Ovis aries: one gene and its partners. The protein of the gene in region 6 interacts with the protein of the main gene of each other region in a pairwise test. Links are inferred from orthologs where the notes say so. Each region holds a gene or a part of one and is shown on either strand. Other genes may lie near its edges.

The links.
Region 1: the proteins of CEP76 (region 6) and SALL2 interact in binary tests that used the Homo sapiens proteins (3 or more experiments, as listed by UniProt). The two-hybrid records come from large-scale screens. The link is inferred for Ovis aries from reciprocal best matches to the Homo sapiens genes CEP76 and SALL2.
Region 2: the proteins of CEP76 (region 6) and KIAA1143 interact in binary tests that used the Homo sapiens proteins (3 or more experiments, as listed by UniProt). The two-hybrid records come from large-scale screens. The link is inferred for Ovis aries from reciprocal best matches to the Homo sapiens genes CEP76 and KIAA1143.
Region 3: the proteins of CEP76 (region 6) and AKT1 interact in binary tests that used the Homo sapiens proteins (3 or more experiments, as listed by UniProt). The link is inferred for Ovis aries from reciprocal best matches to the Homo sapiens genes CEP76 and AKT1.
Region 4: the proteins of CEP76 (region 6) and PARD6B interact in binary tests that used the Homo sapiens proteins (3 or more experiments, as listed by UniProt). The two-hybrid records come from large-scale screens. The link is inferred for Ovis aries from reciprocal best matches to the Homo sapiens genes CEP76 and PARD6B.
Region 5: the proteins of CEP76 (region 6) and NHLRC2 interact in binary tests that used the Homo sapiens proteins (3 or more experiments, as listed by UniProt). The two-hybrid records come from large-scale screens. The link is inferred for Ovis aries from reciprocal best matches to the Homo sapiens genes CEP76 and NHLRC2.
Region 7: the proteins of CEP76 (region 6) and CABP5 interact in binary tests that used the Homo sapiens proteins (3 or more experiments, as listed by UniProt). The link is inferred for Ovis aries from reciprocal best matches to the Homo sapiens genes CEP76 and CABP5.

What each region holds. Positions count from the first base shown.
Region 1 is NC_056060.1:23,991,272-23,995,501, reverse strand, and holds the start of SALL2 (sal-like protein 2), read right to left. Parts: upstream 2,801-4,230; 5' UTR 2,606-2,800; coding exon 2,533-2,605; intron 1-2,532. UniProt on the Homo sapiens protein: Probable transcription factor that plays a role in eye development before, during, and after optic fissure closure.
Region 2 is NC_056072.1:16,468,001-16,471,498, reverse strand, and holds part of KIAA1143 (uncharacterized protein KIAA1143 homolog), read left to right. Parts: intron 1-1,164; coding exon 1,165-1,309; intron 1,310-3,498.
Region 3 is NC_056071.1:66,964,250-66,967,749, reverse strand, and holds part of AKT1 (RAC-alpha serine/threonine-protein kinase), read left to right. Parts: intron 1-1,334; coding exon 1,335-1,446; intron 1,447-1,523; coding exon 1,524-1,671; intron 1,672-1,984; coding exon 1,985-2,116; intron 2,117-2,362; coding exon 2,363-2,428; intron 2,429-3,410; coding exon 3,411-3,479; intron 3,480-3,500. UniProt on the Homo sapiens protein: AKT1 is one of 3 closely related serine/threonine-protein kinases (AKT1, AKT2 and AKT3) called the AKT kinase, and which regulate many processes including metabolism, proliferation, cell survival, growth and angiogenesis.
Region 4 is NC_056066.1:78,706,353-78,710,370, reverse strand, and holds the start of PARD6B (partitioning defective 6 homolog beta), read right to left. Parts: upstream 2,801-4,018; 5' UTR 2,585-2,800; coding exon 2,519-2,584; intron 1-2,518. UniProt on the Homo sapiens protein: Adapter protein involved in asymmetrical cell division and cell polarization processes. Probably involved in formation of epithelial tight junctions.
Region 5 is NC_056075.1:33,891,393-33,894,892, reverse strand, and holds part of NHLRC2 (NHL repeat-containing protein 2), read right to left. Parts: intron 1,443-3,500; coding exon 1,211-1,442; intron 415-1,210; coding exon 292-414; intron 1-291. UniProt on the Homo sapiens protein: Required for normal embryonic development.
Region 6 is NC_056076.1:43,547,447-43,550,946, forward strand, and holds part of CEP76 (centrosomal protein of 76 kDa), read right to left. Parts: intron 2,244-3,500; coding exon 2,026-2,243; intron 1,637-2,025; coding exon 1,498-1,636; 3' UTR 1-1,497. UniProt on the Homo sapiens protein: Centrosomal protein involved in regulation of centriole duplication. Required to limit centriole duplication to once per cell cycle by preventing centriole reduplication.
Region 7 is NC_056067.1:54,626,352-54,630,506, forward strand, and holds the start of CABP5 (calcium-binding protein 5), read right to left. Parts: upstream 2,801-4,155; 5' UTR 2,697-2,800; coding exon 2,610-2,696; intron 925-2,609; coding exon 894-924; intron 391-893; coding exon 247-390; intron 1-246. UniProt on the Homo sapiens protein: Inhibits calcium-dependent inactivation of L-type calcium channel and shifts voltage dependence of activation to more depolarized membrane potentials. Involved in the transmission of light signals.

The DNA of each region.
Region 1 (4,230 bases), on a different chromosome or scaffold from region 6:
AAGACTCCTGAAAGCTTTAGTGGCATCCTAGCCTACTAAATAAATGTCTGTTGATGGTCATGATGATGCCCATAGCTCCACAGGTACACCTGTAAAATAAGAGCCCTCCCTACCTAATTTGGGGGCGTGCAGAACAAAAAAAAATGTCCCTGGGGTAGAAGGAAAACTCAGGAGCCCGAAGATCATGTGAGTGAATAGAAACCCTATCTGTATATCTTATAAAAGCACTAAGGAATTTTAGATTTGATCAAATATTAGCCACCTCATCTTACATATGAGACCCCATTACACCCCAGGTCATGGTAGTAGCGCAAGGATCTTTCACTCTCAGGAGAATTCTGAACAGAAAACCCATCGGCTTTCTTAAGATTAACTACTGCTTTCTTGCTCCTGACATTTGTGTTTTTAACTTTTATGGCTCAAAGGCAAAATTTCAACTGCAATTCTTTGCTGCCATTGAGTTCAGGCCTGTACTGTTTCCATGGGGACGGCTTTGCAGCAGCATTCCGCGCCCCCAGGTGTTCACAGCCACAAGTGGGAGCTACAGCTCAAGGGGCTGGAGAATCCTCTCAGGGCGGTAGGGAAAGAATTTGTAGCTTCCTCCCAGACTTTTCCTCAGCAGTGGTGTAGGGAATGGGTGAGCTGAGGAAGTGGGGAGAGAGGGGAGAGAGGAGGAAAGGAGGACGCCTCTGGGGGGGATTCAGTATTGTTCCGCAATCCAACCAGCAGGGGAGCAGGACTGTAAGGCAACTCCGAGGCTCTGGGGGAAGTCTCCTGTAGAGCAGCGGGAGGAAACATCCGGCCTACAGCCGCATTAAGGCGGGGGCTAATGTGTCCCAGGAGGGAAGGATGCCACCAGCATGAACCTCTTAATACTGGCACAGTGGGATCCCAGTAAAGCACTGACTTGAAGGGGATGTGTTCTCTACACAAAAGCCAATATGTCTGTAGCATGTGGCACACTGACTTGATCTCAAGTCTTTTTTTTTTTTTTTACAGCAGGTGAGAACATAAATTTAATCCATGCTTTAGTTTTAGCCACTCCAAATACATTATCCTAGAGGTTTCCATGACACATATCTCATAAAGAAATGCTGAAGTTCACCAAGAGTTCCCAGAGCTTTGGTCTTATTTCAGAATTTGCAGGAAGTGCCACTGCACTCACATATAACAATAATACTCACATATTAAGTACTTATTTATGCTAGGCACTGTACCACATGTATTAAGCACTTATTTATGCTAGTTATTTTTATAAGTGTACTAAAACATGTATTAACTCAATAACCCAATGAGATAGTAATCAGTATATTCATCCCCATTTTACAGATGAAGAAACTGAGACATAGAAAAGCAAAGTAAATCCACAAAGGCTGCACAGCTAACCAAGAGGTAGAGCCAGGATTTGAATCTTGAAATTCTGCCTTCAGAATCCTTGTGTTTATTCCTATATTACATTGTTGAGTGAATCAGCTGTTTGCTAAATAAATAGCTTATCCCTGAGTCAGTGTGAAATACATAGCCATACCAGATTATCCAAAACTTCCTCATTCCTAAGAAGTACCTGGATATTTGCAAAGATACAGATTCCCAGACTCTAGCCCACATCTACCCACAACCAAGCAAGCTTGGAAAACCCTAATTTAGGTGGAGTGTGTACTACTAGCTCTGATTATCATGAAAACAAGGTTTCTGTCCTGATTATGCCTGTTTTTGAGACTGAGCAATGTCACTGCTCAGTATCTTAGTTACTCTGTTGGCTGCCTCTTACTTACTGGAATGTTATAAGAATACATGAAAATTTCCCCCCTCATAAAGAAAATGTTACATAAATGATAATATCCTCATAAAATGATATGCATGTATTAAAATGCATGTATGTTAACGCATACAGTTTTTTTAGCTTGGCTTTACTTGAAGCATCCACCTAAGGCCCTCATCCAGACCTTTCCTCTAGCCTCTACCCTAGGTGACACAGATACACACTCCAAACTAGGCTGCATCTGACCGACATTAGCTCTCTCCCTCTGGGAGCTCTGATCTGTTCTCTGCGCAGCCCAACAATAAGAAACTTTTTTCTCCTCTCCCTCAGGGGAACCTTCACGTTCATCCAATTCATTCTCTTGCAACCCAACTCTCCAGAAAGAAAAGGGGGGCGGGAATCCCACCCCTAAGAGACGGGTCTTCAGGTCTGAGAAGGTTACTTAGCAACGGGCACAAAGACCAGTGAGCAAAGGGGGACCTGGGGAGAAAACTCTTGGGTGGGGAGACAGAGCCAGTTTGAAAACTCCATTTCATCCAAAGAAAAGCAACATGGAAAACAAACAGAATCAACCCTGAGAAAAGCCAAGCGGGGCTCCACTCCAGCGCAGGTCATCATCTCCTTACTCCCTGCGACTCAACTCTTTCAACCCCCTAGTGACCAAGTCCTCCCCCTGGTTTCGCCCATGGCCCGGGTGCCCTCCCCTTGCCCTGGCCTGACCCACACAGGCTTGGACTCGGCCCCCACCCCCACCCCTCCCCGGCACCCACCGTTCTCAGACGCGCTGGGACCTTCGCAGTCCGAGATTAACTGTTGGGGTTTCCGCTGCTTTCGCCGAGACATTCCCGGGTAGAGAGAGGTGGGACAGGGAGGGACAACGCTCACTTAGTCTGAATCGGGGTGACCTGGTCAGGTCTTCCCCCTAGGTCTGAAGCCAACTGATGCCTCTCCCCCAGTGCCAATCACTGTGAAGCAGAGATGTTCTCGCTTCCCAGGGACAGACAGACAGACACGCGCGCGCTCTGATTCTCAGTCTCTGACTCTCTCTCAATCTCTGCAAGTCTTTAAAGGGGAGACGCCCCCTTTTTTTTTCTTCAGCTTCTTCCCTACGCTTCTGCAGCTCCCATTGTAAAAGCAAAAATCCTAATCTTTCCGCACACTCTTTTCTTTTGTACTGCAGAGGAAAGGATTTAACCCTCTCCTCCCTGCCTGGGTTCCGGGCCTCTCGCTCTGCTGTCTGTTCAGAAAATGTCCCTCCGTCGTTTTTCTGACTCTTCCTCTAAGCTCTTCGCAGTGCTTTCTGGTTATTTCATGATTCTGTGCCACCTTGTTGGAAGATGTGACTGCTTCTGGGGTATAAGCGGAAATGAAAACTTTCTGGTATATCCTGATTATAAGGCCAAGAACTCAGTTACTCGCAAGTCAAAAATGAGAAAGGCTGACCAAAAAATTAAGTAAAAATGATCATTATATATATGTAGATCTCTTTAAAATTTATAAGATATTTTCATGTATGGGGCATAGTTTGAGAAATACATCTTTGAGGTTAGCACACCCAGTTTTACTACTCCTATTTATAGATGATCCTCTTTATAGCTGAACCAAAAGGCTCAGGGAGGTTAAGTAACTTGTCCAAGATTGCACAGCTGTGATGTAAGAGAAACAGCCCTGGCACCCAGGTGGATCTGACAGTAGTCTAGTTCTTTTTTTTTTTTCTTTTCCTCTATAGTGTTAAAACGTACAATATGCCACCAAACTCCTAGCATGTAAAATGAAAATGATTGATCTTAAGGAATCTCATTTAAAATACCCACAGGGTCAGGGGCTCTTCTGTGTCTCCCACTTCTTTCCAGCTCCCAGAGCGGAAGGGATGCCACCTTTGCTAAAATCATACAGAAGAGTTCCGTGGTACTCCAGAGGAGACATTGGCTTCCCTGGCGGCTCAAGTGGTAAAGAACCCGCCTGCCAATGCAGGAGACGCAGGTAGGATCCCTGTGTCAGGAGGATCCCCTGGAAGAGGAAATGGCAACCTGCTCCAATATTCTTACCAGGACAATTCCGTGGACAGAGGAGCCTGGTGGGCTTCAGTCCGTGGGGTCGCAAAGAGTCTGGCACGACTGAAATGACTGAGCATTCATGCACCACCAGAACAGAAGTTACAAGGAGGCACCTTCAGCTCAGTATAAAGGAACTTTATAAAGTGTGATGGCTTCTCCTGTAAATTTATGAGCTCTTTGCGACATGCTCTCACAGAGACAGAAAACAGTTGTCAAGGATTCTGTGGAAAGAATTTCTTTGTGGATATTAAATTTGATCTTTAAGAACATCATTTGGTGTACTTGCCCAGTGGTCCAGTGGTTTAAGACTCTGCACTTTCAATGCAGGGGATGTGGGTTTGATCCCTGGTCAAGAAACTAAGATGTGGTATGGCCAAACAACAATAACAAAAAAACCATCGTTGGCAATGA
Region 2 (3,498 bases), on a different chromosome or scaffold from region 6:
CAAAACTCAAACCTGCCTGGAGCCCAGAGGCCATGAGCATGGCAAGAAGATAAGACTGTGCTTATAGCTGTGGTTATTGACTCAGGCCAGATCCTGCAGGGCTTTGATGCCCTGTTTGGGGGACAAGGAAGGCTCTGTGAGAAGTGGACTAATCAGCTGTTTGAATACTGTGTGTGGAGTGTGCAAGCCTTGAAACCTAGCATTTCCATTCAGGGAATTCCATGTATAAGTTTGGAAAAGTGAACAAAAACATGCAAAAATTTTATCGTAGTAGAAAAAACTACAAACAACCAAAATTTTTGCTTACAAAGAACTGATGAAATAAACCATGAGATAACCATATATAGAGTTAAATAATAGTAATTTTTAAAAATAGGTGATGCCATATGTATCTCAGGGTTTTGTGCAAAGCGTTTTGTTTTTTCTTTGAATAAAAAAGTTGGGCAAGTGGAGCTTTTATGGTGTCTGATATTTTTCTTAAAAATCTCAATTAGCCAAATGTTACCATGTGTTACTTGTGTAAAGTGAGTACATGGTTTCTGTTACATTATTCTCTGTACTTTTTTATGTTTGGGAATTTTAATAATTTAAAAAGAAAAAAGAAATCAAGTTATATAGTAGTATGTTTAGCGTCCTGTTTGTATACAAAATGTTTTCTATACCTCCACATTTTTATACACTTAGAACAGCTGATGGGATACCCACCAAACAAGCTGCTGGGAGGGAAGAAAGATAAGCAGAGAAGGAGGACCTTTTACTTGCTGTTTCCTGTACTTTGGTGGTGTATTTTTGTTTGTTATGCTTTGAGAAGAGATGGAAGTGAAAAGGGTTGATGAAGAGCAGCAAGAACTGGTGCAGTCCAGCACTTCCCTGAGTAGACTGGGCATGGAACAGAGGGCCCCTGACATCAGGAACTGCAGGTTGGGGTCCTGCTGGGATGGAAACTGGTTCCCCTGGATAGGCACCCCAGAATAACTGGCAGGTGGACCTCTTCCCTACTCTGGCGAGGTTAGATTCTTAAGAGTTAACTTGAAAATTGACTGCCGAACACATTTAGTCAATAAGGTTACTCTTCTCACTCTACTGATTACAGTTTCTCACAGACAGTGGTTGTATTTAGTTCAGGGTCAGAACTAAATTTGTTGTGTTTGTGTTTTTTCCTAGAGAATCCAGCCTCAGCTCCCAGAAGAAGATGGTGATCACAGTGACAAAGAAGATGAACAGCCCCAAGTGGTGGTTTTAAAAAAGGGAGATCTGTCAGCTGAAGAAGTCATGAAAATTAAGGCGGAAATAAAGGCTGCCAAAGCAGGTATGTCTGAAAGTAAGCTGGTTTTCCCACCAATTTAACGTTAGGTATGAAATCATTTTATATAATGGTATGGTATGTTTGATATTTGTCCCGGCAATCTTGATTCCAGCTTGTGCTTCTTCCAGCCCAGCGTTTCTCATGATGTACTCTGCATATAAGTTAAATAAGCAGGGTGACAACATACAGCCTTGATGTACTCCTTTTCCTATTTGGAACCAGTCTGTTCTATGTCCAGTTCTAACTGTTGCTTCCTGACCTGCATACAGGTTTCTCAAGAGGCAGGTCAGGTGGTCTGGTATTCCCATCTCTTTCAGAATTTTCCACAGTTTATTGTGATCCACACAGTCAAAGGCTTTGGCATAGTCAATAAAGCAGAAATAGATGTTTTTCTGGAACTCTCTTGCTTTTTCGATGATCCAGTGGTTGTTGGGAATTTGATCTCTGGTTCTCCTGCCTTTTCTAAAACCAGCTTGAACATCTGGAAGTTCACGGTTCACATATTGCTGAAGCCTGGCTTAGAGAATTTTGAGCATTACTTTACTAGCATGTGAGCACATGAGTGCAATTGTGCAGTAGTTTGAGCATTCTTTGGCATTGCCTTTCTTTGGGATTGGAATGAAAACTGACCTTTTCCAGTCCTGTGGCCACTGCTGAGTTTTCCAAATTTGCTGGCATATTGAGTGCAGCACTTTCACAGCATCATCTTTCAGGATTTGAAATAGCTCAACTGGAATTCCGTCACCTCCACTAGCTTTGTTCATAGTGATGCTTTCTAAGGCCCTCTTGACTTCGCATTACATGATGTCTGGCTCTAGGTGAGTGATCACACCATCGTGATTATCTGGGTTGTGAAGCTCTTTTTTGTACAGTTCTACTGTGTATTCTTGCCACCTCTTCTTAATATCGTCTGCTTCTGTTAGATCCATACCATTTCTGTCCTTTATTGAGCCCATCTTTGCATGAAATGTTCCCTTGGTATCTCTAATTTTCTTAAAGAGATCTCTAGTCTTTCCCATTCTGTTGTTTTCCTCTATTTCTTTGCATTGATCGCTGAGGAAGGCTTTCTTATCTCTCTTTTTTTGCATTTGTTTTCCATGAGGATGGTCTCCTGTCTCCTGTACAATGTCACGAACCTCTGTCCATAGTTCTGTCTATCAGATCTAGTCCCTTAAGTCTGTTTCTCACTTCTACTGTATAATCATAAGGGATTTGATTTAGGTCATACCTGAATGGTCAATGGTTTTCCCTACTTTCTTCAATTTAAGTGTGAATTTGGCAATAAGGAGTTCATGATCTGAGCCACAGTCAGCTCCCGGTCTTGTTTTTGCTGACTGTATAGAGCTTTTCCATCTTTGGCTGCAAAGAATATAATCAATCTGATTTCGTTGTTGACCGTCTGGTGATGTCCATGTGTAGAGTCTTCTCTTGTGTTGTTGGAAGAGGGTGTTTGCTATGACCAGTGCGTTCTCTTGGCAAAACTCTATTATCCTTTGCCTTGCTTCATTCCGTACTCCAAGGCCAAATTTGCCTGTTACTCCAGGTGTTTCTTGACTTCCTACTTTTGCATTTCAGTCCCCTATAATGAAAAGGACATCTTTCTGGGGTGTTAGTTCTAAAAGGTCTTATAGGTCTTCATAGAACCGTTCAACTTCAGCTTCTTCCAAGCATAGGCTTGGATTACCATGATATTGAATGCTTTGCCTTGGAAATGAACAGAGATCATTCTGTCGTTTTTGAGATTGCATCCAAGTACTGCATTTTGGACCTTTTTGCTGACCATGATGGCTACTCCATTTCTTCTAAGGGATTCCTGCCCACAGTAGTAGACATAATGGTCATCTGAGTTAAATTCACCCATTCCAGTCCATTTTAGTTCGCTGATTCCTAGAACGTCGACCTTCACTCTTGCCATCTCCTGTTTATTTGCCTTGATTCATGGACCTGACATTCCAGTTTCCTATGCAGTGTTGCTCTTTACAACATCGGACCTTGCTTCTATCACCAGTCACATCCACAACTGAGTATTGTTTTTGCTTTGGCTCCATCCCTTCATTCTTTCTGGAGTTATTTCTCCACTGATCTCCAGTAGCATGTTGGGCACCTACTTACCCAGGGAGTTCCTTTCTCAGTATCCTATCATTTTGCCTTTTCATACTGTTCATGGGGTTCTCAAGGCAAGAATACTGAAG
Region 3 (3,500 bases), on a different chromosome or scaffold from region 6:
CGGCGGGGGGAGGCCCAGGAGGCAGGTCCCCTCCGGCAGCCCCGTGGCCGTGAGTCTGGGCTCCCCACGGGGCCCCCGGGGCTGGGCTGGGGGCTTTGGGCCTGGGAAGGATGCTCAGCTGGGCAGCTGCCACCTCGTGGGGAAGGAGGTTCCTCGGGAGTGTTGCCCAAACTCAGCGCAGGGGAGTGTGGGGGCCGTCAGGACACACATGGGAGGTGAGGACCACCCAGAGGGGCTTCCAGCAGCAGGTGGGGCAGGGGCTTGAGGCAGGCCTTAGGCCACAGGAGGAGGAGCAGAGCGGACAGGGAGGGCTGGGCGGCTCCGCGGGGGCCTCTGCGGCAGGGGCTGTTCACTGAGGAGGAATTGCCGGGGTGGGGGGCGAGAAGTCAGGCCCTGGATGGGCCTGGGTCCTGGGGACTCCTGGTGGTCTCCGGTGGGCAGAGTATGGAGGAGGGTATGCGGACCCCGAAGGCTGCCGCACAGATTTTCCTCCCTCTCCTGCCCCGGGTAGACGTGGGCCCCCAGCACCACTCCCCACCCCCACCACCCCGGAGACCCCCGCCCTGGTCCCCAGCCTGGCAGACCATTCCTTGCTTCCTTGCACTCGGCTGAGCCTGGCGGGGCCCCCGCGGTTGCCAGGGCCTAGACGCTGGAATGTCGGAGGCCCCTGCACTGGCCCCAGGCCCCTCCTGCCTCCACCGGCCGAGCTGGAACCCAGCCCCGCTCCGGGCCCTGGGCCCTCCCACAGCTCCTTCTCTGCAGGTGTGCGCGTTTGGGGCACGTGTGCTCCAGGCGTGCGTGCGCTCCCAGGCCTGCCAGCCGGTCTCCGCTCCTGCGTGCACCGGGGTTGTGGGCAGCAGCGTGGAGAGGGTCAGCCCAGGCGGCCTCTGGGGTGGACGGGTGGCCTCTCCAGAGGATGAGTCATTGCCAGCCTCCATCCCGGGCCTGGCCCTGCGCTGAGATGGGGCCGGGAGCCCGCTGGTCCTCGTGTGGCTGGGGGGTGGGACGCTCCTGCTCGGGAAGCTGGGGAGCAGCTCTCCCAGAGGCCTCCTCCCCGCCAGCCCCTCCTCAGGCCCCCCAGGTCCCCCATCCTCCTCCTGGCTGAGGACCATGTCCTGGGTGGCTGGGGAGCTCAGAGACCAGAGGACAGGCCTTGGAGATGGATCCGTCCAGTCGCAAACACCCCCTCAGGGGCACTGCCTAGCTCTCAGCAGGGCTCCAGCTGGAAGGGAGCTCTGGCCCCCTTTTACAGGGCGGGAGACTGAGGCTTGGAGAGGTCTGGCCTGCGGTGGGTGGGCCGGGATGCTGTGCAGACAGGTGCTGCCTGCCCTTAGAATGCCAGCTGATGAAGACGGAGCGGCCGCGGCCCAACACCTTCATCATCCGCTGCCTGCAGTGGACCACGGTCATCGAGCGCACGTTCCACGTGGAGACGCCCGAGGAGCGGTAGGGAGCGCAGGCGCCGCGGCCGGGGAGGCCCCGGGCCCCGGGCAGAGCTGGGGTCTCACCTGAGCATCCCGCAGGGAGGAGTGGACCACCGCCATCCAGACGGTGGCCGATGGGCTCAAGAGGCAGGAGGAGGAGACGATGGACTTCCGGTCGGGCTCACCCGGCGAGAACTCGGGGGCCGAGGAGATGGAGGTGTCGCTGGCCAGGCCCAAGCACCGCGTGGTGAGCCCCAGCCCTGCCCCACACCGCCCTCCCAGCCCCTGCACGGAAGCGGGGGCGACGCGCCGGGCGCAGGGAGGCCTGGGAACGGCTCTCCCACCCCCCGGACCCCAGCGTTCCCAGTTGGGGCGCACAGCCCTGCAGTCTCCCTTGAGCCCCGGACCCCCAAGGACCATCCTCCCCCCCGCCCGCTGCCCCAGCCTCACCGTCCTCGGCCCGAGGCTGCCCGCGGAGACCCCGGCCCCGCTCAGCGCTGCTGGGCCGCCGGCGGTCAGCGTGCAGCCCCCTGATCCTGGCGCCTGCACGCTGCCCTCAGACCATGAATGAGTTTGAGTACCTGAAGCTGCTGGGCAAAGGCACCTTCGGGAAGGTGATCCTGGTGAAGGAGAAGGCCACAGGCCGCTACTACGCCATGAAGATCCTCAAGAAGGAGGTCATCGTGGCCAAAGTAGGGGCGGGGGGGGCGGGGGGGCCGGGGCTGGGGGGGCGGGGGCGGGGCTGGGGGAGGGCGGGGGGCGGGGGGGGGCGGGGGGGCCGGGGGCGGGGGGGGGGGGGGGGGGGGGGGGGGCGGGGGGGGGGGGGCGGGGGGGGGGGCGGGGGGGGGGGCGGGGGCCGGGGGGGGGGGGGGGGGGGGGGGGGGGGGGGGCCGGGGGGCCGGGGCCGGGCAGGCGGCTCAGCAGTGCCCGTCTTGCAGGACGAGGTCGCCCACACGCTCACAGAGAACCGCGTTCTCCAGAACTCCCGGCACCCGTTCCTGACGGTGAGCGCGCCCCCCCCCCCCCCCCCCGTGCCCCTGGGGACCCCAGCCCGTCCTCCCTGCCAACCCAGCAGGCTCGGAGCTTGGACGATGGTGGGCGGGCCTGCGGGAGCGGCGTGGGGGTGCACAGAGCGGGCAGGGGCTCCCGGCTTCCCTCTGTCCTGCTGAGACCCCGGGAGGCTGCACTCCCCGCGCCCACCCTGCTGCTCCCGGCAGGCGCTCCCTGTCCTGGGGGAACTCGGCCCAGGAGGGATGTAAGGAAAACCCGAGCAGCAAGGCGTTGGCTGGACTTAGCCGCCAGGCCTGGCTGGCCGTGCTCCCAGGTCAGCAGTCAGGCGACCGGGTCAGCCTCCAGAGTCTTGTCCCCGGGACCACTGTGCTCAGCACGGTGTCTGCTCTCCAGCGGACGCCTGGTCTAACGCGCGGGGAGAGCCGAGCAGCAGGCAGGCTCCTAGGATGTTTTCTCAGGAGAAGTGTGAGGCGTTAAGAGCAGACACTGTTTGTCCGCCCAGCCCAGAGTTATCATGACCGTGGCTTTGCCGCCTCCGCTTCATTTTGCCCCTTCCCCTCTGTCTGGCCAGAGGACTGTGAGGAGAAGGCCAGGCTTTGTCATGCCCTCCACTGGGTACCGGCCACCTCAAGTCCTGTAGGGATCCGGACTTGCTCTGCCTGGGGACGCTTGCCTCCCTCCGGCTCTCCCTGGGGATGGGGGATGGAGCAGGACGTGGGGGAGGGTCTCACGTCGGTATCTTCATGAGCTGGGGGCCATCCCATCAGTAGCAGTCTTTCTTTTGAAGTGAGGCTGCCTGTGGTTTGACGCGTGAGGGCAGTGGGTTGCATCCTGCAGGGGAGTCTCCACGTGGTCAGTGGACCTGCAGCTGCTGGTCCTCGGGCATGGCCTTTGGGGCAGCTGGGGGTCTCCTGCTCCACGGGGCAGACCCCCTGCCCAGCCAAGGGCCAGGTTCGAGCTCTGCTTCCCTCACAGGCCCTGAAGTACTCCTTCCAGACGCACGACCGCCTGTGCTTCGTCATGGAGTACGCCAACGGGGGCGAGGTAGGGCCCTGCCCCTGCGCT
Region 4 (4,018 bases), on a different chromosome or scaffold from region 6:
CGTGAAAAAAAATACAAAAATAGAGATAAAATTAAGACTCAATCAACAACTATTCAAACTTTTTTTTAGCCTGGTCTAGTTTGGCCTGGTCATGGGGATGGACACCCATCACCCAGCATTTTTAGGTACAACACTTTAGAAATGTAAACTTGATTTTAGTATTGGTTCCCCATGAATAATAACCAGGAAATGTACAGCTCAATGACTATTCCAGGTCTTTGACATCCAAGACTGCTGAAGGACATCTCCTTGATTATTAATAGCTCTCTCAACTCTATAGATACAGGAAGATAAATGTTACCAGAAAGTTACTGTAAAGAAAAGTCACATGGTAACTGGTATCACAACTTAACTATACTTATATTTGCATGATCCATTACTTTATTTGTAGCATTTTCTCCTTCCATGAGCAAAGACATGACGTTGACAACTTGCTTTTTATGTAGAAGAAAAAGAAATCCTGAAATGTGGATCTGCATACCACAGAGTTGGGGTCACAACCTCTTCCTTATCAACTTTGTAAAAAGCTGTAATATTACCACCAAAGCAGTGAAAATGGACATATTGTTCCACCTATCTGTCCAAATATTGTTTAAATGGTGAAGATGTCAAGTGCTTTTCTTTAACCCCTTAAAAATAAATGTACAGTTAAAACACAAGGTGTCAGAGACGCACTGGAAACTGTACTTCCCCTGTGCCTACTGATCAGCAGCTAGAATGAGTGGGACCCTTGATTCTGTTTAAGAGCTACGGTTTACCAGAAGAGCAGGCCAAATATATAATGGGTAGTGTGGGAAAGATTCACAAACCAGTTGACAGAAGAGAAGCATGGAAAGCCTGAAATTCTAGTCCCTACACGCTCAAGGTTTCCTAATCTGAAAGATAAATTACCATTTGACTGTATTTAATCAGAGCACCTAGAATCCCTACTCATTTTTTTCCTATGATAAAAAGTTAAAGACTTGCTACCAAGATTAGGACCACAAACTGAATTTTAAGATTACGCAATATCGTGTTTTTCTTTCCTTAACCTCAACTCCCACAAACCCAAACTAGATTTATAACAGAAATGCTGTGAGAAGGTTCAACCATTGGCCACAGAACCACTACTACCACTATATGCTAGAGGAAAAACTCGCTATATATTTTGTTATCTTAACTCTTAGTTCAAGCATGTCACTTCAATTTGCCATGGCAATTCCATGGAGGACACAGGAGACAGTGTATTTCTGAACCTGCTATATTTCTGTTCTTATTAAGCAGAAGGGTTTTTGAAATTAGTACCTACTGTGATACCAGTTAAGTTGAAAATGATGTCTTAAAATGTTAAAAATGAATGCAGATCTCAGTTATGGCAACTTACAGGACTTCACTTATCAACTCCAGATAATAAAAACCCTTCTACCCCAGAGAGCCTTCCTTACTCTCCTTCACTGAAAATCACTCCTTGATTTTGCGTTCTCCCTTCTACCACATCCCTGTTATCTTATATTCAGTAAGGTTTCATTATTTTTGAAGTTAATACGCTTTTCCTTTTCTCCTACTCTTCCCTGTGTCTTGATCTTTCCAACTCTTATTTTAAACGTTCAGGGGGCTCAGCTCCGCGTGCTCTCTTTAGTATTCCAGAAGGCCTAAAACTTATCTTGTAAAAAGGGCTTTAAGGTTTTGTCATAAAAAGCAGAGCTTGTTGAAGTCAAAACCTTTCTGAGCCCCTGTCTTCTCCGAGAATCAGACTAGATTATCTAAGTCCCTTCTGGCTCTTCAATTCATGAAATGCTTGCTTGAGAATGTTCTTGGGGCTGCCGATCGTCTTCAAATTCCAGCTCAAAACCTCCCTTAGAAAGCATTCCCTCACTAATCCCGATACACTGTCCTGCTCAGGGAGCCTTGCAATTTAGGAATTCAGAGGATACCCACACGTTGTCATCGGCAGATAGGCATACCGTTGGTCAAGAGGGAAAAAACACTTGACCTGAAAGAGTAGCAGGATGGAATGAGAAGGGCATCCAAACTCAAAACTGCTAAGTGCCACTCACCCGAAAGGTGACAGTGTTCACTTTACAAGATTCAATGCATACCAAAGTTCGTGTTCGAAAAATCCCTACAGGAAGCAAAGGCTAACTTTTACATTTGGGTGACTACGGATGTTTCAAACTCTTTACTCACATGCCAGAAGGCAGAATTCCTCCAAACCTTTCGTACCACGTTGCGCTCGCTCAAATGCCCCCCCATCCTCGGGTATGCCTTGGGCCTGACTCCCATCCTTGAAGGGGAATGATTGCTCACGGAAGGGGATTAAGCGCTCGGTGGGGCTCCTGCCTTACCTGGGGGCGGGAGCGGACACAAGGGCCCCCCGCCGCCAATCCTCGGCAAGTTCATTCCCCACCGTCTCCAGCCCCCAAGTCCCCCCAGCGCGGCCCCGGCGGCCCCATACACCCGGCCAGCCCCTGGGGGCCCCAGGCCCGGTCACTGCGGCCCCCCGCCCCCGGGGGCCCCCAGCTTGCCCGGGCCCGCGCACCTTGCTCTTCACCTCCATGGTGCCCAGGCAGCCGCTGCCCGCCCCGTGCCGGTGGCCGCGGTTCATCCTGAGGCCGGGCCCGCGGCGGCCTCCTCCAGCCGGGCCGCCCCTCGGGGGCGCGCGGGGCGAGTGCGCGGCCGGCGGGCTCGGGACGCGGCGGCGGCGGCGGCGGCGGCCCGGGCTCCTCCTCACAGGCACCTGCAGAGGGGCGGCCGCGGCTCGCGTCTCCGCGCCAGGCCCCGCTCGGCTGGCTCCTCACGCTGCAGGACCGAGGGTCGGACTGGCGGCGCGGCGGGCGGGGACGCGGAGCCCGCCCTCCCGGCCTCGGCGGCGGCCGCGACGGCGGAGGCGGCGGAGGGGGCGGAGCGGCGGGGACACGCGCCGCAGCCTCGCTCTCGGCTGCCGGCCCCGCGCGCGCGCGCGCTCCCTCCCCTCGGGCCGGGCCGCCGCCGCGGCGCGTGCGCGCGCTCACCTGCAGCCTCCGCCGAAGCCTCGGCAGCCCGCGCTCCGCCCCCACCCAATGGGAAGCGCGCACCTGCGCCCGCGGCGCCAACCAATCGGTACCCGCCTCGCGCCGCGCGTGGGCGGGGCCTCCTGCTCGAAAAGCCCGCCTGCCGCCGTTCGATTGGTCCCGCGCGGCGAGGGAGGGGTGGGATCACCTGAAGCCGGGAGGGGCGCTCCGGACCCCGCAGGCGAGCTCCAAAGCGCATGCGCGAGTCCTGGAGTTTCCGCCCAGCGAAGGCCGGCCGGAAGCGCGAGCGCACCTGGAGACGCGCTGGGATGGGTGGGCCTTTAGCGCACGCGCGGGCGCGCGCCTGGTTGCTCTGTACCCGGCTGGAGCTCGCGCTCCGCCGGGGCGTGGGGCACTCTTCCCGGCTAGTTGCTGGGCGCTGCGGGGCTGCAGGCTTTCTGCACCGCCTTCCACTTTGGGATGCTGCAGCCTCCTACAACGCCCCTCCGTCACCCATTTGCGTCTAGTCGTCTGGCTGCAACTCGGATTGCAAAATTCCAGTTTTCCCGCCTCTGTAACAGTAACTGGAGAAAAATCGCAGGGCTCTACTGGCTTAATGTCGTTGGTAGAGACTTTCTGCAGTCCAGTCAGGTCCCGTGGGATCGAGTAGGCGCTGGGAGGGCTGGGAAATGGGCAAAGGCCGGGGATGGATCCTCGAAGGTCCGTACTTCTAGATCGGCCCTCCAGGGATTCCCCGCCCCCCTTGTCTTTTAAATTTATGTTTAACCTTTGAGGATCTTCCTCTCCCTCCAGCCATTTCTGGGCTATTCACTGTGTCCACCAGTGACAGCCGCCAGCTTGTGTTTTGTCTGTCCCTCCTGTGGAATGACCAAGCTATGTTCTTGATAACAGAAGACTGAATCCTTCTCTTTAAATGCTCAGAGCCGAGTTTTTCCTCTCAGGGATCCTTTGCAGCACTGGCAGTGCTGGGGTGGTGAGGAGGAGAGCCCCAGAGCCCCCCACCCACCTGCAGAGGGGCTCATCACAGA
Region 5 (3,500 bases), on a different chromosome or scaffold from region 6:
TCTCCTTATTTCCCGAAGATCTTACTAAACAGCTTTAGTGGCTTGCAATTCCCAATTTTGGGCTATCGTCATTGGGAATTTGTTTAGTCCTTTCCCCAGCTCAGAGTACTATCACATCATTTCTGCAAAGAAAGGACCAAAAAAGGAACAGAAAGGCTTATGTACAGTTGTCAAAGACTGTTATTCCTCTCTACATTTTAGAGTGGCAGTTGTAGGAGGCTCACAGATCTTTCAGCATTTTAAATACCACAAGTGAAAAGCAGGGTATTATATAATTCTGTCAAGACTCACCTTGTGATTGTAAGAGTCTGCCACGTACAGTAAATTCCTTTTCTTGTCCCAAGTTACTCCAAGTGGGTGCTGTAGCCTCGCATCGATTCCTACTCCATCAACATCACCAAAAGCAAATAAATTCTTTTTTTTTTTTTTTGAAAAGAAAAAAAAAACAGCATGTATTAAAATTTTTTCACAGAACTTTGTTAGGGTATAAAGTGAAAATTCAGATGGCTGTACATGCTACTTAAGTTAAATGGGGAAAAGTCTGATTTCATATAAATAGGGTTGGGCATTTGACTGAAACTAGAGAAAAATGACAGAATTCTGAACCTGATTTTTAATTTGTGGTTCTAAGGAATCTTATTCACAAAAATGACACATCTGATTCAGGTCTACTTACCCTGGAGCTCTTTCCACCCTCCTGCTAAATTATCTACTCTTCATCTTTCCCCTTGCTCAGTAATCACAGTTTTATCCTTCCTTTCTCTCGGAAGCCTTGACATTCATACAGAATCAAATCAGATCAGTTAACTTTTCAAAGGTGGTTTTGTTACTTGTGCTTCTTTATAGTCACATTTCCTTTGGTTTGACTTCCATTTTAACATGGATAAGTCCAAGAATTTTCTCCTTCCTATGTCTTACTAGGGCTTCCCTGGTGGCTCAGAGGTTAAAGTGTCTGCCTGCAATGTGGGAGACCTGGGTTCGATCTCTGGGTAGGGAAGATCCCCTGGAGAAGGAAATGGCAACCCACTCCAGTATTCTTGCCTGGAGAATCCCATGGACGGAGCAACCTGGTGGGCTACCGTCCACGGGGCCGCAAAGAGTCGGACACGACTGAGCGACTTCATTTTTTTTTTATGTCTTACTAACGTCACAATTCAGCAAATCGCATGCTCGCTCAGCAGGCACACGGCGCAGAGGCGCTCTTCATTACCGTGGGGTCTCTCTCTCCTCCCACGAGGGGTCTCACTGCTCCGTCTTTCAGCGAGACGGCTCTCACCGTGCTGCTCTCGCTGTCTGCCACGAACAGGCAGCTCCAGGGGTCCTCTGCGGCCAGAGACAGGCCTGAAGGCTGAGCAAAGCCTGCCTTATGAGGGTATGCATTATTCCGATTCTCTTCATTTCCACTTCCAGCAAACCGAAGGCAGGTTCCTTTTTTTAACTCACTAAAGACGACAAATTCACAGGTGAAGTGTCAACACTGTTACACTGACCCAATTTAATTACTAAACAAATGAATGTAAATGAAGCCAATGGTGATAGCATTATATATATATTTTTTAAATCTGCTAATCCTGACCTAGTTATATTGTGCAAATAAGCTTTCATTGTAGTTTTTCTAATCATTAACTTGTTCACCCACTGTATAGGGACCTTTCTATCTTTCTGTTTTTAAAACATACACAAAAGTGAAACTATTCTCAATGATTAAACAGGAGATCCCCGACAAAGTTAAAAATACATGAATAAAGATCACATCACTGATGGGATAGTTTTCCTCCAAATGATCAGAGGCAGGTACAGCTAGATCCCACCTTTACATCCTGGTCTCTTCTTAGTTTCATGCAATATTAGATTCTGAAAGGGGATTAAAAAGATCTAGGTAATCTCTTCCAGCTCTTGATAGTTCTGAGCTTAAATTTTTATTAAAAATGTTTTATTTTCTTGTACATAAGTAGAGACCAGGCTTTCCTGGTGGCTAAGTGGTAAAGAATCCACCTGCCAACCAGGAGACGTGGACTCAATCCTTGGGCTGGAAAGAGCCCCTGGAGTAGGAAATGGCAACCCACTCCAGTATTCTTGCCTGGAAAATTCCATGGACAGAGGATCCTGGGCGGCTATAGTCTACAGGGTTACAAAAGAGTTGGACATGACTTTGTGACTAAACAACGAAAGATATAAGAAGAGACTAGCAAGAAGAATTAAAAGAATCATTTGTGAAAGATGGGTGCTCATTTTAAAGTAATAATATGATTTCGCTGCTTTAATCAATTGCACAAATCCATTTCCTATGCATACTAGGGAAATTTCTATTTAGAGGACTATTGTAATGACTTGTAATAATTTGTAATATGGAGAAAGTTTTATACCTTGGTTTCTAAGTTTATGTCAGAGGAACTGTAAGGAAGACATGCTAGTGTCTTGTATTGAGGGGAGGGAAGAAGCTAACTTGGGATACAAAACAATGAGAGACTCTGTATCATTTTCTAATACTGTAAAACATGCAAAAAAAAGTCTAAAATAACCATCAGTCACTTACTGGTTAATATCATCCCAATGCTAACGTATGTAGGGAACAAGGAGTGGAAGCAAAGGGATAGAAAATGTATAAATACAGCCATTTATTCAGGGCCTATTTATATGTAATAACAAATATGCCAAACAAAGGACTTATAACAATTTTACAAAGGAGCTCTCTTAATAAAAGCTAGAAATAGTGGGGAGAAACAGTAACTTCTAAAAGTTCAGGAGTTATTACCACTTGAAGGTCAGTGACAAATAACGCATCCTTGAAATTGTAATACAAGTCAGTGTGATCAGACTGGACACTTTTCTATTGTGAATGAGTGACAACTCTACTTAGTGAAATTTAGACCACTCTTGACCGTCTAGGTCCAAAACAGTCATCATTGAGAACAAGGTAGTCTGGTCATCTCTGCTGCTGCTTTTTTCCTCATCTATGTTGTTGGTCACCTCACTATTCAGCTTCTGTCAGCTCTGGCCTGGATAACAGCAGTGGCCTCCTCCTTGAACCTGTCTGTAGTATTGCCACACTCCAAATGCTACCAGTGTTCTTTCAAAAACACAAATCTTATGATATCACTTCCCAGCTTAAAACTTCCCATAATGTCATGTAGCATAACTTTCAAATCTCTTAGAAAGATTCTAAGGATCTGGCTTCTACTGACATCACAAGGGTCATTTCTTGCCTGGGAAACCTCTACTCTTCTGAACTCCTTCCTACCCTCTGTCAGGTTCAGTTAGTAGCTAAAAAGGAGATCTTAGTTAGTAGCTTCTTCCAGGAAGCCTTCCTTTAATACCTTAAATTTTATTTATAATGGATGTTCCTCTGATTTATGTAAGAGACCATACCATTTCATCCCTACTGCAAAGCATAGTGCCTTGTTTGCTTAAAAAATATTTTTCAATGGATGATTAAATGCTGCTAAACATCTTATAAAGCAACACACACCCAATTCAGAATATCTGATATTCTGGATATC
Region 6 (3,500 bases):
CTGCCTCCTAGTACATGCCTCACAAATAGTTTGTTCCAAAAGCTGAAAATTACAAGCCATTTTTCCTGTTGATAGCTTTGCAAGTAACTCTGGTAACAGACCAAAAAGTCTTAATTCTTATCTTGCTGATTCTCTAAAGTCATGTCAGTCTCAAGAAACTTCTGATTTCTGGTCATTTTCAATAAAAATTGGTATGAGAGATTATTTTCAGACTTTTAAAACAAGTTATATCATAAATAATTACATATGTAAAAATTAAAAAGTAAATTTTAGAGTATCTTTAGATTTTAATTTCTAAAATATCATTTTATTTGCCATGTTGAATTAGCAATGAAAAGCATAACTTGCACAGCCACTTGGTATAGTCACTTTCATAAGAAGCCCAGTGGTTGCAGGAAAGAATGAGAGCTGTACAGAGAGGTGGGTGGATGGCAAGGCAATCCCATCAGGCAGCTTCTCACAAAGTTTAAACCACTACAGCCTCTTCAAAGTGCACTGTTCTCAACTTAAAAACAAACATCAGCATGGAGGCACTCACAGATGCTCGTTTTTCAGTGGCCTCACATGATGATTCTCTGATTTACATTCACCACATACACATGGATGCTTTTATCATAAAGAGAAAAGAAAGAAACAAAAACTGTGATTTCAAAAGATAAACTCCACGAGAGGCTAGTAAAGAATGCTGTGACCACAGAAAATCAGCAACAGACTGCCAATATCAATTATAGAAAACAATTTTCAACATACAACTAAAGGGTATAATAAATTTTTTCTAAAATAATTCAAAAATAAATAAGCAAAAAAAATAATAAAATACACAATTCACTTTTACAATGAATCAAACTAACAAATACTTATAAATTATTTGTATACTTTCATGTGTGGTTTGTTACTAATAATAATGCTTTTCTGGTATGAGTTTTTTCTCTGCTCCTGCACCCATGTCTTCCCATAACTCTCTAGAGAGTCACAAATATCCCTGTAGTTATGAGTAAACCACGAAAGTGGTAAATTCATCAAAATGCATTTCATCTATGTAATAAATAAATGTTGTGAAGTTAATTTCTCCTAATTTATATAAAATAATCCCATTACTCTATGAAAAATAATGATCGTATTAACTTCACTATGGCTCAAATCCTTAGGCAAATAACTTTCTGATTACCTGTTAATGCAAAGAAAACTAAGTAAATTTTATTTTCATATTTAAACTACTGACTACTTATAAGCAAAGTAGTATTTATTAAAATAAGATAAACACTTAATTTATACTACCATCCTCTCAAATTTATACAAGTTTTTCATCCTTAATTTTTAAACACACATCATGATACTTTTCAAACATTATTAGTGAGGCTTATATAAAAGTTAAATATGACATCGAAGCCAGATTGTGATTTTTAAAGTAATGAACCTCAAAACACCTAGTATTATTATCAACACAATGTGTAAAATTCTAATAAAACACAGGTATAGTCTTATAGAAACTTAGTCCTATAGTACTGAGCGATATTTACAAGCAAACATGATCCAAACAGCACAAGCAGATTCAGGGTAAGTAAACACGCGGACACGAACTGCCAGGCGCACCTGGTCTCCACGGCAACAGATGATTTCTTCACAGAAAGGAGACCTTAGAAGAGAGAAAATGGATTCAATTAAGAAATGAATTTAGGTTTTACTTTATTTCCAAGAAAGTCGGGTATTGAAAATGATTTTTAAAAATCCTGTCTCTGTTATCAAGGACTCTGCAACTGTGGTAAAACTATTCAAATTATAAACTATTTCCTCATAGCCAATTAAGTTTTTTAAATTACACTAGACAAGATCAGTGATCCTTGGCAGAAAAACGACCCTGAGCTCTCCAGAGCTACACTCTGGCCCTAATGAATCAGAGTCTGAGGCAAGAGGACAGGTCACTACAGAAGCTCCCTGTGTGACTCTGAAGTCATTCCTAAATTAGTGCCAAGTGTTCACTGAAATTATGTTAAAAACACCAAGACATCATAAATTCCACCTTACCGAAGACATGTGGCAAACGCGCGCCTCGCATTTCTATACACAAAGTGTATTGGGAACCCTTTAAATGTGTGGCCATCAGGCACAGCCCTTCTGATAGCATCCTGAAACTCTTCATTGCCCGCAGATATGCTTGTTGTACGCTCAAATTCATAAGACGCCAGAGCTGGTGACAAGAGATAAGAAAGCTGGTCTTCCCAGACAGTAGTGAGGCCAAGGTCCTACAGCAATTGAAATGGAAAAAGCAAAATACAATATTTAAAGAAACTAATTATAATGTTGATTATTTTAATGTATGCCAAGAAAAGATTTTTAAAATCTGTCATAATTTTCTTAACTTCCTATTAATTATTATAAGGATACAAAGAAGTAAAAATCATAAAAGGAAAAACAGGTATCAGGTTTTACTTCTTAGAGAAATAACAAAAGGCAGCCAATGCAATGATGTTAGTGAAGGCTGCAAATGCTGAACTCCCTTAATATCCACAAGGAAAGACCATAAGGAATTGTCCTACTGAGGAAGACAACATGTCAAGGAATTCTGAGGTCAAATTTTATTTAACTTTAAAGACTTTCACAAGATTGAATCTGCTTAACCTGATTACTCCCACTATCAACTGAACTGTAGTTGGGGAGAAATGTCAACAAATTGCACATATAATTAAACTCAAATATTTACTGAGCATTTATTCTGTAAAAGACACCAAAAAGCAGAAGCTACAGGCCCTCTGGGAGCTTAAGACATGCTGAAGGCAATTATAATTTCACTATGACATCAAATGAACCATTGCTACCTTGACATGTAATTTTTTTAATGCTACAAACTAAAAATTCTAAATATTTTGATTATTATAACAGATCTAATCTCACATTCTGTTATAACTGGTTTCAAGTAGGGATCACTTATCTTCTTCCTGTGACTCTTACCTGTGGGCTTATAGACACCATTAACTTAGCAAGCAACCATCTATGGCATCCAGCTCAGCTTTGTTCTCTTTTTTCTAAACAAGTAGTTCTTATAATGTATTAAAATGTCAGTTTCACAACCTAGATGTCCATCAGCAGATGAATGGATAAGAAAGCTGTGGTACATATACACAATGGAGTATTACTCAGCCGTTAAAAAGAATACATTTGAATCAGTTCTGATGAGATGGATGAAACTGGAGCCAATTATACAAAGTGAAGTAAGCCAGAAAGAAAAACACCAATACAGTATACTAACACATATATATGGAATTTAGAAAGATGGCAATGACGACCCTGTATGCAAGACAGCAAAAAAGACGCAGATGTGTAGAGCGGACTTTTGGACTCAGAGGGAAAGGGAGAGGGTGGGATGATTTGGGAGAATGGCATTGAAACATGTATACTATCATGTAAGAATCAAATCGCCAGTCTATGTCCGATGCAGGACACAGCATGCTTGGGGCTGGTGCACGGGGATGACCCAGAGAGATATTATGGGGAGGGAGGTG
Region 7 (4,155 bases), on a different chromosome or scaffold from region 6:
TCTCATAATGACTACAACTAGTAAACAACAGAATGGAACTTGAACCCAAATCTATCTTTAAAATCACCCTTTTAACCACTTCAAATGCTGCCTCCCTAAGTACAGTCTGAGCAGTTTTCTTCCAGACGTCTAGCCCTGCTTTCCTCCTCCCCATCTCCAGCTCTACTCTCAACCTCCATATGCTTCCTGACTTCACTCTTAACCCTCCCCTAAGGCCGGGTCATTCCTCCCACCCCCAAGCCTCACAGTTCATCCGGATCTGCTGGCCCAGTTCAATCAGTTCCATCTCCGTGGGCATGTAACCCATTGTCCTCATGAGATTCCCCAAATCCTTACAAGAGATGAACCCATCTCGGTCCTTGTCAAACTCAAGAAATGCTTCCCGGAGCTCTGAAAGTTAAGAGACAAGAACTTTGGGGCAACTTGAAACAGTCACTGGGGGAAAGGAGCATCCCTTGAAACTGTCAATGAGGCACCAACTCAAGACTCCTCAAAAAAAAAAAATATTATAAAAATGTCCAAAAGGAGAGATATATGAAGTGTGTTAGCAAGAGGCATAATTCTCGAGACCACCAAATGATAGCACTGAAGTCCTTCACATTGTTGGGTGAAGTAATGAGAAACTTCAAAACCACCAAGAAAAAAAAAAGAATAATTTTGGACTTATCCTTAAAACTCAGGCATCATTCATGGGTCTCTGAGACACTTGGGGGTCAGGATGGCTTCTGAACACTTTGGGAAGTACTTAAACTGCCACGAAATCACAGTTGAGTGGGAAGAGAGAGTGATGTAAAATTTTTGTGTCGAGGGATTTATGCTGAAATGTACAAAGGAACAGAGGGCAGGTGAATGGGTGGATGGTGATACGGGGATGTCTGGGGGAGAAGTGTTACCTTCAATCTCATCTGGTCCCAGTGGTCTTTCCTAGAAAGGAATGCGGGGGGTGGGGGCAGGATTTGGAAAGAGAATCAAGAGACCCACATTCACTTCTCCAAACACGTCTCATCCTCATCCTTTCCTGGTCCTTTCCCCTTCTCCCTCCCCTCCACCCTTCTCACCTTCCTTCTCCCACCTCCTGACTCCCCGTCCCTGGCTATTTGCTCCTCCCACTCCTCCTCACCCCCTTCTCATTTCCTCTCTCCCTTGGTCTCTCTTCTCCTGCCTTTCCCCAGTGGACATCCATCCCATTGTGCCAAAACAGATCCTGGGGGCCATGAAATCCAGTCTCCTCCAGATGAGGAAGAGTCAGACTTAGAATCAGTTAACATACTCAGAGTGCTAACTGTGCCGGGCTTCCACAATCATTTCATTTCAACTTCAGAACCACCCTGGAGGTCGAGCCAAATACCATTCCCATCTTACTTAAGAGAAAGCTGAGGAACAGAGAGGTTAAGGAACCTGTCTGAGGTCACACAGCTCATAAGTGGCTGGGTGAGAATCCCTTGGTGTAAGAGCTGTGTTCAGTGGCTCCCAGGCAGGATGAACACAGCCAGCATAACCAATTTCTGAAACCCTTTCATATTGCCACTAGCCACGCCAGGACATACCTGAAGGGTCAGGCTTGAGCACGTAGCACCTCCCCAGGAAAATTCCATCAACCCCTGGCCTCTTTCAGCCCCCATACCTCCCTTTACCCTTGGAGACTTTTTCCCACCTTCTCTTTTTTAGTATCCCCTTCCCCGCTCCAGCTGGGGCTTCCCTGGCAGCTCAGAAGGTAATCTGCCCACAATGCAGGAGACCCAGGTTCAATCCCTGGGTCAGGAAGATCCCCTGGAGAAGAGAATGGCAACCCACTCCAGTATTCCTGTCTGGAGAATTCCATGGACAGAGGAGCCTGGTGGGCTACAGTTCATGGGTCACAAAGAGTCAGACATGACGAAGCGACTAATACTTTCACTTTCCCCCCAGTTAGTTAGGCTTAAAGACTAACAGTGAAAAGCATGCCCATTGGAATCAAACGGTTCTGGCCCTGCCATTTACTAATTGTCAAAGCTTAAAGCAATGGACTTCATGACTCACAGCCTTACCTTCCACATCTATAAAATGGGAATGAAGGCATTACGGACCTCATGAGTCATTGATTGTGAGGATTAAATAATATCAAGAATGAAAAACCCTTTGCACAAGTCTGGGCACACAGCAATGACTTAAGTGGCAACTACAGACTTCCCTGGTGATCCAGCGGCCAAGACTCCGTGCTACGGTGCATGGGGGCCAGATTCAATTCCTGGTCAGGGAACTAGATCCCACATGCTACAACTAAGACCCAGCACCAATTAAAAAATAATAATCGACAGCTACTGTTATCCCCACCACCACCACCGTCGCTGGCATCACTATGGGTGTCTGTAGAAAACAATGATGTTGGTCAACAGTGACGTCACCCCAGTTCCCCTTTGTCTCCTCTTTCATCTTCTGCCTTCCGGTCCTGACTTCTGAGTTCACCCTCCCCTCCCTGACCCACGTGTCCCCACCGTGCTCCCTGGGATTCTTTAACCTTCTCAGGTCATGCTCTACCCCCTGCTCCCCTCTTCCACCTGCCGGTCACAGCCCTTCTCTTCCCCGCATCCCAGCTTCCCACCGTCCTTCCCCATCGCCCCCAGCCTCACCCGCTGTTTCTCCGCGATGCCTTTTCTTAGGAAGATGCAGGCAGGACCCATGGGAAACTGCATGGAGGGTGTCATGGTGGAGCTCATCAGGCTCCGATCTCAAGAGGCCGCACCCCTCCTCGACTTCAGGTCCTCCTTTGGTGGCTCAGCCTCCTTTGCTTCTCCGCCAGTCCTTGGCCAACTCTGCCTGCCTCTCCCCCGGTCGCCCTGGCTCCCTTGGGGCTGTGACAGCTGGGTGGGAAATCTCTTCTCAAGTTGGGGAGGGATCACAGCTGTTCCTGCCTCCCCATCTGGCTTGAGGGAGACTGGAGGGTGGAGGGGGGGAGCCAGTGTCAGGCTCTGACCTTTTATCCCCAGAATAGAATTGGAAGGATAGTTGCAAAAACGAGGATTAGAGCGGAGGGCATCCATTCATACAACGTTCCAACAGGCACGTGGCGTGATCGGCCTAAGCCTGGCCTCTGCTGGCCTTTGTGCAAGTGAAGACGGAGAGCACACGGCCCCTGGCTTCCAGGAGCTCTGGAGTAAGCCAGGAACGTGAGTACACGAGCAGAATGCGAACATCACGTGAGAACCTGACTTTGGGAATAGGCAAGTATAGTGGCTGGTTCAGCCGCCAAGTCATGTCCGACTCTTCGAGACCCCCATGGGCTGCAGCACACCAGGCTTCCCTGTCCCTCACCATCTCCCAGAGTTTGCCCAAGTTCACGTCTGTTGAATCGGTGATGCCATCCAATCATCTCATCCTCTGTTGCCCTCTTCACCTTCTGCCCTCAACCTTTCCCAGCACCAGGGTCTTTTCCAGTGAGCCAGGAGGGTGGTGTTTGCCCTTCCTCTGCTCATTTCTTCCCTTCCCTTCTTTTTTTCCTGAACATTTCAGGGCAGGAGGGGCAAGGTAGGCATCCACACTGATGTGGGTAGTCAGAGGCCACAGTGAAGCGATAGAGAGACTTCCCTGGTGGGGGAATTTAAGACTCTGTGCTTCCACTGCGGGGGGCGCAGGTTCAATCCTTGGTTGGGGAACTAAGATCCCAAGTGCCACGTGGTGTAGTAAAAAAAAAAAAAAAAAAAAAGTGGGTGGGTTTGGAGGCAATAAGGGTTGCGTGGCCCAGAGTGTTGGCGCCTGGGAAGTTGAGGATGAACCCACAGAAGAGCAGCCTGGTACAGGATACTGGAGCATGAACTGGGTGACGAGGTTTATCTACACGCGGGTATCACCTCATCTAGGGTAAGGGTTTGCACTGTGAGCAGAGTGACGATATCCACTCATGGAGGTGGCGTGGTGCAGGGTGTTGAAGCCAGATCATGGAGAGAAAGGCGTCCCCACAGGAGCAGACAGCAAAGGAGAAGGGAGATTGGTTACACATGGGATTATACTAGGGATAAAGGGAATCGGGGTTCTCGCTGCTGGAAAAGGGAGTTTTTAATACAGAAAGGGGAAAAGTTAGAACAAGCTCTGTGGTGTTGGACTGGAACTGGAGGCACTGTTATGCACTCATGGACTTCAATATATAGGGAGGGATACACAAATAAACGGGCTTCCCAG